Linked DNA regions of Arabidopsis thaliana. The protein of the gene in region 2 purifies or fractionates together with the protein of the main gene of each other region. This does not show direct contact. Each region holds a gene or a part of one and is shown on either strand. Other genes may lie near its edges.

Region 1 (4,967 bases), about 26 Mb from region 2:
AGGGCCGTGGTGGTTATGATGGTCCTTCTCAAGGCCGTGGTGGTTATGATGGTCCTTCTCAGGGCCGTGGTGGTTATGATGGTCCTTCTCAGGGCCGTGGTGGTTATGATGGTCCTCAGGGTCGTGGTAAAATAAATTAAAACATTCTGTATTCTTTTACCTGGTTCTTGAACTGTAATTGTGTGAAGAAGCCATGAGTTTTGAATTGGTTTGATGCAGGGCGTGGACGTGGACGTGGAAGGGGAGGACGTGGAAGAGGAGGAGGACGTGGTGGTGATGGTGGTTTCAACAACAGATCAGATGGACCACCAGTCCAGGCAGCTGCTTGAGAGTGAGGTTTCTCTTACACAAACATAAAAAGAAGAAAAAAGCCCAAGTCGTTGGATGTTTTTTTTCTATCTCCTTGTTCTCTCACTTTCTTTCTATGTTTGCTTCTTCTGTCCATCAAGAAGACATGTTTGCCATAAGTGTATCTCATTCCCCTTCTTTTTTTTTTACTATCCATTGATTGACAGTGTTTTAGCTTGTGGTCTGTTTTGTTTAGAGTCGCTTAGGAATATATGTTCAATTTATTTTATGGTTGGTCGTCGTCTTGGGTTTTTGTTAGAGAAGAACTACTGAGGCATCCTCTTTTCTTTTCTTTTTTCCTCTGTTTTGTAGTTTTGTTTAGGTGAGAGTGAGACACAGTTTGGACAAATTACCTCTTTTCTTTGGTTATCAGTTTTAATGTGATGGAACAGTTGATTCTTTTATTTCCAACAAGTACCCTTGCAAAGTTGAATTCTTATATAACATTATAACGAAAATAACTCACAAATGGAAGCAGATTTACACAGAGAGAGAAAAAAAATGGAAGTAGAAAGCCAGAAACCATCGATTCTCGAATTTGGGTTGATCTTCAAAATTCTAATGAGACAGACACAACAAAGGAAAGGAAGCTCATAGACTCGTCGACACCGTATTAACAATAGATTTACTCGATAAAAAAATGTTAGCGCCGTTGCCGGGGATCGAACCCGGGTCACCCGCGTGACAGGCGGGAATACTTACCACTATACTACAACGACTTTGATGTTCTAATTAATGACATTAATAGTATTAACAAACAAGATAATATCTGCCTTCAAGGGAAAGAAAAAAATAAAATGGAAAAATATAATTGGGAAAAATGTTGTTTTATATACGAACTTTCAAAAAGTGGCCATTTTATACGTGAACTCTGACGTCGGCCAAAATAAATATGAAAAATACGTTGACCAGCCATTTTAACAGAAACAAAACGTTGACCTGGCCAAAATCCCGAGACGTTAACTCGCATTAACAGACCCAATTAACCCCGTTAACAGCACGTTAATAAACTCTGTTAAAGCCGAAACGGTGTCGTTTTGTTCTAAACGAAACAAAACAAAATCCCCAAATCGAAAACTCAAACCCTAAGTCTTCATCTTCCCCAAATCGATTTCTTATATCCAACTTCTCTCAATCTATCTTCTTTGAGCTTCAACTCCGACAGAAGACTCTGCTACAACAACAGCCGGCAAAGCTAGAACTCCACCATCAAACTCCATCTCCGGTTTCAGCTACTCGTCGTGGTGGAACAGGAGCAATGTCGACTTCGCCTTCTATTGCTAAGGCAATCACAACAAGATTAATCGAAGAACAAACACGATTTTACCAATGAGAGAATTAGGGATTTGGTTTGAGAGAATTAGGGATTGAGTTTTCGATTTGGGCATTTTGATTTGTTTCGTTAGGTTTGAAACGACGGCGTTTTGGTCTTAACAGAATTCATTAACGTTCTCTTAACGGGGTTAATCAGCGAGTTAACGTCTCGGGATTTTGGCGAGGTCAACATTTTGTTTCTGTTAAAATGGCTGGTCAACGTATTTTTCATGTTTATTTTGGCCGACGTCAGAGTTCACGTATAGAATAGCTACTTTTTGAAAGTTCGCGTATAAAACAACATTTTTCCCAAATATAATTTGGTAATTTCTGTCTAGGAAAAGAAAAAGGAAAACATAAGAGTACTTATGTGTGCGTTAAGCCCTGCTCTTTTCAAATCAATTTTTAATTTACCTTCGTCAAGAAGAAGACGACTTGAGATTTGCGAAAAAGATGACTCAGGACGTAGAGATGAAAGATAACCAAACCCCAACGCAATCCGTCGTCTCTGCTCCTACCTCCACGCTACAGAGTAAATCTCTATCTTATGCTTCAGTTTCTCTTAATCTCACATTGCTAGGTTTGTTTCAAAATTGAATTCGTTGTACTGCTTTTTTTTTTCTCCAGATTTGAAGGAGATTGCAGCTCTGATTGATACTGGATCTTATACAAAGGAAGTCCGTCGTATTGCTCGTGCTGTGCGTCTCACCGTTGGACTACGAAGGAAGCTCACGGGTTCCGTGATCTCTTCTTTCCTTGATTTCGCTTTGGTTCCTGGATCTGAAGCTCACACTCGTCTCTCTTCTTTTGTGCCGAAGGTATGTGTAGCTTCACTTGTCCACTTTGATTACGAGCTTATCTAGGATCTGTAATTAGATTCATGTATTAGTGTTTGCCCTTAATTTGATGGAATTTATAATATTGGTACAGAGTGATGAACATGACATGGAAGTTGATACAGCATCATCGAATTCCCAAGCTCCTCCTAAGCATCTACCTGCAGAGCTCGAGATTTACTGCTACTTCATTGTTCTTCTTTTTCTCATTGATCAGAAAAAGTACAACGAGGTTTACTTCTTCTCTATCTCTCTAACTGACATACTTTATTTATAAATCTTGCTGTGGTCTTCATTGTTTTACTTTCTTTGCTTTCAGGCCAAAGTTTGTTCTACCGCTAGCATTGCTCGCCTCAAAAGCGTAAACAGGAGAACCGTTGATGTCATTGCTTCCAAATTGTATTTTTACTACTCCTTAAGTTACGAGCTAACTAATGATCTTGCAGAGATACGTAGGTGAGTACAAGTTCACAGTCATCTTTCAACTTTTATCATATTAGTTCAACACTCAATTATCTTATTAACTTGTCTCTCTTTCTGTTGCAGTACTCTTCTTGCTCTTCACCATTCGGCCACACTGCGCCACGACGAATTGGGCCAGGAAACACTTTTGAATCTGTTGCTTCGCAATTATCTACACTACAACCTGTACGACCAAGCAGAGAAGTTGAGATCAAAAGCGCCTCGATTTGAGGCACACTCTAACCAACAGGTAACCCTTTCATACATTCTAGTTTCTAATTCTAAGTTAATTGTGATGCTTACTTATGCCAACCTCTCTGATGCTTACTAATGCCAACTTTTCACTGTGAATTTCTCCAAACTACATTCACATGTTTCAACTAGAAACGATACTCATCTCGTTATATAAATTTACAGTTTTGTAGGTACTTGTTTTACCTTGGCAAGATCAGGACGATTCAACTTGAGTACACCGATGCAAAAGAGAGTCTCCTCCAAGCTGCTAGGAAAGCACCTGTTGCATCTCTGGGATTCAGAATCCAGTGCAACAAGTGGGCTATCATAGTTCGGCTGTTGTTGGGTGAAATACCTGAACGATCTATCTTCACTCAGAAAGGAATGGAGAAGACTCTTAGGCCATATTTTGAGCTGACCAACGTGAGTTCAATCTTTTTTACATTTCTAACATATGCTTTAATTAAGGTTTTCTTGCTAATACTCTTGTTTAAATTTTGTAAGGCTGTGAGAATTGGTGACTTGGAGCTGTTCGGGAAAATCCAAGAGAAGTTTGCCAAAACATTTGCGGAAGACAGGACTCACAACCTCATAGTCAGACTCCGACACAACGTGATCAGAACAGGACTGCGCAACATCAGCATTTCCTACTCCAGAATCTCTCTACAGGATGTTGCTCAAAAGCTGAGACTGAACTCAGCGAACCCAGTGGCTGATGCAGAAAGCATCGTCGCTAAAGCCATTAGAGATGGAGCAATCGACGCAACCATCGACCACAAGAACGGTTGTATGGTCTCCAAGGAAACAGGAGACATCTACTCCACTAATGAACCACAGACTGCGTTTAACTCGAGGATTGCCTTCTGTTTGAATATGCACAATGAAGCGGTTAGAGCACTGAGGTTCCCGCCAAACACGCACAGGGAGAAAGAGAGCGAGGAGAAAAGAAGGGAGATGAAACAGCAAGAAGAGGAGCTCGCTAAATACATGGCTGAGGAAGACGATGATGATTTCTAGATTTGTTTCAAATTCTACTGTTTTTGTCTGTTAACACTTTTGTTATTTTGAATTATCTGACTTTTTCTTGTTATTATGCACATCAGTTCTTTTACTTTATGAAAAAACAAAATCTCAAACTTTATCACAAGTCCACATTGGGATCAAAATTCTGGTAAATAAATTCACTGAAGAAGTGAAGTTAGTAATATAGAAGAACATGAACATGATTCAAACCCAAGATCAGTAGATGGGCCTTTAGGCCCATTAGTTATGTAATTACAAATCGGCGAAGTAACTCCGATTGTTTTTTCGCCGTCAAAGGTTAAACAGTCGAAACAATGGAGATTCTGAAGCTTGATGTAGCGAAGTTTCCAGAAATTGAGGATACAATCGAATTAACTAACCCAAAGAGAAACGACGAAGTAGAAGATTGCGACGACCAACAGAAGCAGCAGCTAGCTACACAAGAAGATGAAGAGGAAGACGAATTGAGAAAGCTTCTGCTTTCAGATATTGGAGAACTTCCGATTTCTCCTCCTTCAGCTACACAAGTCAATTTTGTTTCTTACTTCATCACAGGTTCTCAGATTCACCTACTGTTTAGTGTTTTTCAAAACCCCTTTTGATAGTGTGAAGTGAATTAAACCCTTTTCAATGTTTTTGCAGATTTTACTAAATCGGGTCATGATCAATATATTTACCGTCACGCTAATGGGTATGTCAAAGATTGTTCCTTTTGCTGTTGAAATGATGAAATTGGTTTTCTTCTTACTT
Region 2 (5,152 bases):
ACCGAGATAAACACTTTTTCGTCTCCACGGTATTTTTCATGTGAGCATGTTGGTTCTTATTTGTGCAGGTACATACAGTATGTGTGGGAGCAGCCATAGGTCAGGCCTGTCTATTACTTTCTGCGGGAACCAAGGGTAAACGGTTTATGATGCCACATGCCAAAGGTATAGACTTCGACTGCATTCTGGCCGCTTCTATGGCTCACCATTGATAATCAGAACCTCTCATACGTTTGATTCATTATGTCACAGCGATGATTCAGCAACCACGTGTACCTTCTTCTGGGTTGATGCCTGCCAGTGATGTCCTGATTCGGGCCAAAGAGGTTTGATGAATCGCTCTACACACTTAATATTCTGGAAATTTAAATTTGATCGAGATTTTCTCTTTCTGCTTTGCTTCTACCTACTTTCCTATATTATATCTCTGATAATTTGGACAGAAATTTCTCACTTAAGCATTTGGTTCAGAATTTCATGACCTAATTAGGTGAAGAATCTGAGTTTGATTACTTCATCTTCCTCATTCCTGTTATGCAATTGCAGGTCATTACAAATAGGGATATACTTGTGGAACTACTATCAAAGCATACTGGGAATGTGAGTGCGAAATATTTTCATAACTTTGTGGAGAAATTTGATAGCTGATTAAAACATTCTTATATGTCATATAGTCCGTGGAGACTGTAGCTAACGTAATGAGAAGGCCATATTACATGGATGCACCAAAAGCTAAAGAATTTGGAGTCATTGACAGGGTAAGTTTGGGCACTGTAATTTTTTGATGTTGCTTTTCATATGCACATACTAAAAGATTAAAGGTTACATATCGTCACCAAGCAAAGTAACCTTTCCAGTCAAGTTTCCCTCTCTTCTACCTTTTCCTGATGTTTGCCTGTGCGTAATGATGAATTTGTTTTCATACTTTTCCAAGTTAAAGCTTTAAAGATGGTCTCATAATCATTGGCAGATTCTTTGGCGCGGTCAAGAAAAGATTATTGCGGACGTGGTTCCTTCAGAGGAATTCGACAAGAATGCAGGGATTAAAAGCGTAGTATGAGTCTAGTCTTAAGTTTTCTTGGCCTAAATCATACTGTAAGTGACACGCGTAACTCTCCATTGCTACTCTAGGCATGAATCCATCTTATTCATGGAAATCTCTGATGAAGAAATACAAATGCATCTAACTTACCTGCAAATCATTAGAACGCACGCTTGTATTTACAATGATTTGTATTTTGCTTGAACTCTACTCATTTGCAGGCGTCATGGAGAAGAACAAATAGACTGACCAAAATCACATTGGCCGCAGACTGCCTTGTTTCAAATCACTTGGTAAATGTGAACATGCGATTAGGAGAATCATACTTAAAGGATCTTGAAATATTATGATAAAATTGTAATGTGTTTGTTCGTTAGCAATAGTAAATACAATCTTCAACTCTCTTCTTCACCCTTCCGATTTGAATATTGAACAGTTTCTTACTTGTTTCCATTTGGCTTCACTTCTTTTTTGGTCAGCTTTTAAGAAAACTACATCATCAATTTGACCAGATTGCTTAGCAATAACTTGATTTTAAAATAGATATAAGATACATTGTGAAAAAAATAAAAAGGATACAAAACCAAAAACGCTCCGATGCCGGGAATCGAACCCGGGTCTCCTGGGTGAAAGCCAGATATCCTAACCGCTGGACGACATCGGATTTGTTGTTGGGTATTGACTGTGATAATATTTAATACAATACATGTGTTATTAAATTAAAGCTGTTTCTTCGCCCAAAAGCCAAACTCTGTTTCCTATTTATGTCTTCTGAGATCTCTCGTAGACTCTTACAGTGATTAACTCAGGCTGCTAAGGGAGATGGCAACGGCGATGGCGGAGGATACGAGCTTCGAGGGAGACCAACTAGCTTCCATGACTACTGATGACATCGGTAGAGCTTCTCGTCTCTTAGCCAACGAGATTCGCATCCTCAAGGTCACCACCCTCTCTCTCTTCTCTCTATATTTTTAATCTGCTGGCTACTTGGAACTAGTATATTTCTTCATTCCAAGCTCACTATTACCTTAATTTGATTAGCGACACTTTGATTAGTTTTGAAGAAGATGGATGATGTCTGAGAGCAACGATAACTCTTGTTTCATATCACACTTTTTATCAGTCAAAGATATCGAAATTCACTCAAAGTACTTGTTTTTATAGTTAGATAATTATAGAATATGATTAGAAGACATTTATATTTACTGGTCTTTTGCTCATTGGATGAAATTCACCAGAATTTTTTGATGTCTTTTTCTCTCAAATACGTTGATTTGTTGTAGGAAGAATCGCAGAGGACAAACCTTGATTTGGAATCAGTGAAGGAGAAAATAAAGGAGAACCAGGAGAAGATTAAGCTTAACAAACAGCTTCCTTACTTAGTTGGCAATATCGTTGAGGTACTTTCACTGACTCTTCTCTTGGGGTGTTTCACATTCCTTATATGGGGCTTTTGGTTTTGGTATGTATAACATTCCTTTTTGTTGAGTGACACAATTGTACTATGCTTTTGATTACTAGTAGTGTTAGCCTGATGAATTCCTTGAATCTTTGCCACAGTAGTTCAGACATTTTACCATCAAATTTTTTTTTGTGTAATGATGGAATTAGGATTTGATCTATTATCCGTGCTTTCTAGATTCTTGAGATGAGTCCAGAGGATGATGCAGAGGAAGATGGAGCGAATATCGATCTGGACTCTCAGAGGAAGGGAAAGTGTGTCGTTCTAAAAACATCAACTCGTCAGGTGAAGTTTTAGACTCTTATATCACCGTTAGAGAGATTTTCAGAACTAGTGGGGAACAAACTCTGACTACTAGTGTAGTGTTTGTATAATGATCTCATGGGTTAATTATACTTTTCAGACCATCTTCCTCCCTGTTGTTGGACTTGTTGATCCAGATACATTGAAGCCTGGGGACTTAGTTGGAGTTAACAAAGATAGTTACTTGATTCTGGATACTTTACCTTCTGAGTATGATTCAAGAGTAAAAGCAATGGAGGTCGACGAAAAACCTACTGAAGACTACAATGATATAGGGGGACTAGAAAAACAGGCTAGTTGATGACTCTCCTGTTTCATGTTTCCTTAGTTTTTAGTATCTCTGGTACAATATTTGATGTTGGTGACTCTCCTGTTTTTGTAATTAAACAGATACAAGAACTTGTTGAAGCCATTGTGTTGCCAATGACTCATAAAGAGCAGTTCGAAAAGTTGGGTATCCGTCCACCAAAAGGTGTACTCTTGTATGGTCCTCCTGGAACCGGAAAGACGTTGATGGCCCGAGCTTGTGCAGCACAGACAAATGCAACTTTCCTCAAACTAGCAGGGCCACAACTTGTTCAGGTATGAAAACTAGAGTAAACGTAACTGATTTTGATCTTGTTCCTGTGATATTTTTTGAACCAAACGGAAAGTAACTTTTTTTAGACTTATGTATAGATGTTCATCGGAGATGGAGCAAAACTTGTCCGTGATGCTTTCCTGCTTGCAAAAGAGAAATCCCCTTGTATTATATTCATAGATGAGATTGACGCAATAGGGACAAAGCGTTTTGATAGGTACTCTATCTAGAGTCATGTCATAACTATTTTATTTTCTTTCTGATGACTAATGCTGACTTTTAATTGGCTTACAGCGAAGTTAGTGGAGACCGTGAGGTACAAAGGACAATGTTGGAGCTGCTCAACCAGCTTGATGGATTCAGCAGCGATGATCGCATTAAGGTTGTTACCCCTCATATTACCCCTGCAAATGTCTATTTATTTAGTGAAAGGCATGAAAAACTCATAATTTTACAAACTTAGGTTATTGCAGCGACAAATCGTGCTGATATACTAGATCCTGCCCTTATGCGTTCTGGTCGTTTGGATCGTAAAATCGAGTTTCCGCACCCCACTGAAGAAGCTAGAGGCAGGATCTTACAGGTTCTGTATCCTTTACTGCATCTTTTCTTTTTTCTTTCTTTATTTCTATGTCGTTTTAAAGCTAAAATTAGAGAGCTTCATGCACTTAGACAAGTCTTGCTGTGATTTTCTATGTATTCCGCGGATAACTTATCTTGGGTACTGTTTTGTTTTTGCATAATGTTGGCGATGGGGTTACAGATACATTCAAGGAAAATGAATGTGAATGCAGACGTCAATTTTGAAGAGCTTGCTCGGTCAACGGATGATTTCAATGGAGCTCAACTCAAAGCAGTGTGTGTTGAAGCGGGTATGCTTGCCCTGCGCCGGGATGCAACTGAGGTATGCATATATCTTTCGTCTTAGTGGTTGTAACTTTAGGATGTGGATGATATGGAGGAAATGGTAAATGTGTGTGCAGGTGAACCATGAGGATTTCAATGAAGGTATAATTCAAGTACAAGCCAAGAAGAAAGCAAGCTTGAATTACTACGCCTAAGTCCTCTTTTATGTACACTCTTCTTTCTCCTCTTTACATTATAGAAAACTTCAAGTTGTAGTCTCAACTTTTGAATCTAGAACCCCTTCAAAGTGTGGTTATAATTATAATAGATATCAGCTTGACATATTTTGCTTATTATTTTCTAATGATGGTCTGATGGATGAATAGAATCGAAACTAGAAATTTTCCTTGTGGAACTCAAACTTGGTCGTAGTTTTCCTAGAGAAATCTTGAGCCAGTCTCTTTAACTCTCCTATGATGCATGTATTACCACAGTAGAAAACCCCTACCAACAAAATAGAAAAAGGAAAATCAGTTACTTACTAGAAAGATTCTACAATAGCTATGGAATTGTTGTAATAGCTAGTGACATACCAACTCGTTGATTGACGTGGTTGACTGCGACGTGCTTGAAGACACTACGCCAATTGGGTCGAGCGAAATGGGTTCGGACCCGAGTGCCCGATACGATGTCAATGCCGCTCTTGGCGTGGTGCAATGACTGCAACATGGTGATTAGTGCTGACCTCGCATCTCCTTCCTCATACACGCTAGTGCAGTAATTATGTAGTTCAATCATCCCCTCACTATCATACTCAGCTACCTCGTTCATGACCTCACTGAACCATTCCAATGATCCTTGCTCTCTTGTTACCCAATAAAAATAAGCTCGTTTTGTGGCAACATAGTTTTTTATGTGT

The links. The genes of interacting proteins can lie anywhere in the genome.
Region 1: the proteins of RPT5B (region 2) and AT1G75990 fractionate together in Arabidopsis thaliana (co-fractionation; one large-scale study listed by BioGRID). This does not show direct contact.

Annotation. Positions count from the first base shown.
Region 1 is NC_003070.9:28,523,867-28,528,833, reverse strand, and holds AT1G75990 (PAM domain (PCI/PINT associated module) protein), read left to right. Parts: upstream 1-1,985; 5' UTR 1,986-2,115; coding exon 2,116-2,194; intron 2,195-2,289; coding exon 2,290-2,480; intron 2,481-2,592; coding exon 2,593-2,730; intron 2,731-2,817; coding exon 2,818-2,954; intron 2,955-3,044; coding exon 3,045-3,210; intron 3,211-3,377; coding exon 3,378-3,617; intron 3,618-3,698; coding exon 3,699-4,211; 3' UTR 4,212-4,430; downstream 4,431-4,967. Other genes in the region: AT1G76010 (Alba DNA/RNA-binding protein), read left to right, coding at 1-126, 220-329; AT1G75980 (Single hybrid motif superfamily protein), read left to right, coding at 4,532-4,772, 4,860-4,908. UniProt on the Arabidopsis thaliana protein: Acts as a regulatory subunit of the 26 proteasome which is involved in the ATP-dependent degradation of ubiquitinated proteins.
Region 2 is NC_003070.9:2,935,971-2,941,122, reverse strand, and holds RPT5B (26S proteasome AAA-ATPase subunit RPT5B), read left to right. Parts: upstream 1-1,759; 5' UTR 1,760-1,864; coding exon 1,865-1,981; intron 1,982-2,325; coding exon 2,326-2,442; intron 2,443-2,681; coding exon 2,682-2,789; intron 2,790-2,907; coding exon 2,908-3,099; intron 3,100-3,197; coding exon 3,198-3,389; intron 3,390-3,485; coding exon 3,486-3,604; intron 3,605-3,681; coding exon 3,682-3,769; intron 3,770-3,850; coding exon 3,851-3,970; intron 3,971-4,150; coding exon 4,151-4,291; intron 4,292-4,370; coding exon 4,371-4,448; 3' UTR 4,449-4,595; downstream 4,596-5,152. Other genes in the region: AT1G09130 (ATP-dependent caseinolytic (Clp) protease/crotonase family protein), read left to right, coding at 69-165, 253-326, 547-600, 675-758, 971-1,051, 1,264-1,392; RBOHB (respiratory burst oxidase-like protein), read right to left, coding at 4,628-4,737, 4,827-5,152. UniProt on the Arabidopsis thaliana protein: The 26S proteasome is involved in the ATP-dependent degradation of ubiquitinated proteins. The regulatory (or ATPase) complex confers ATP dependency and substrate specificity to the 26S complex.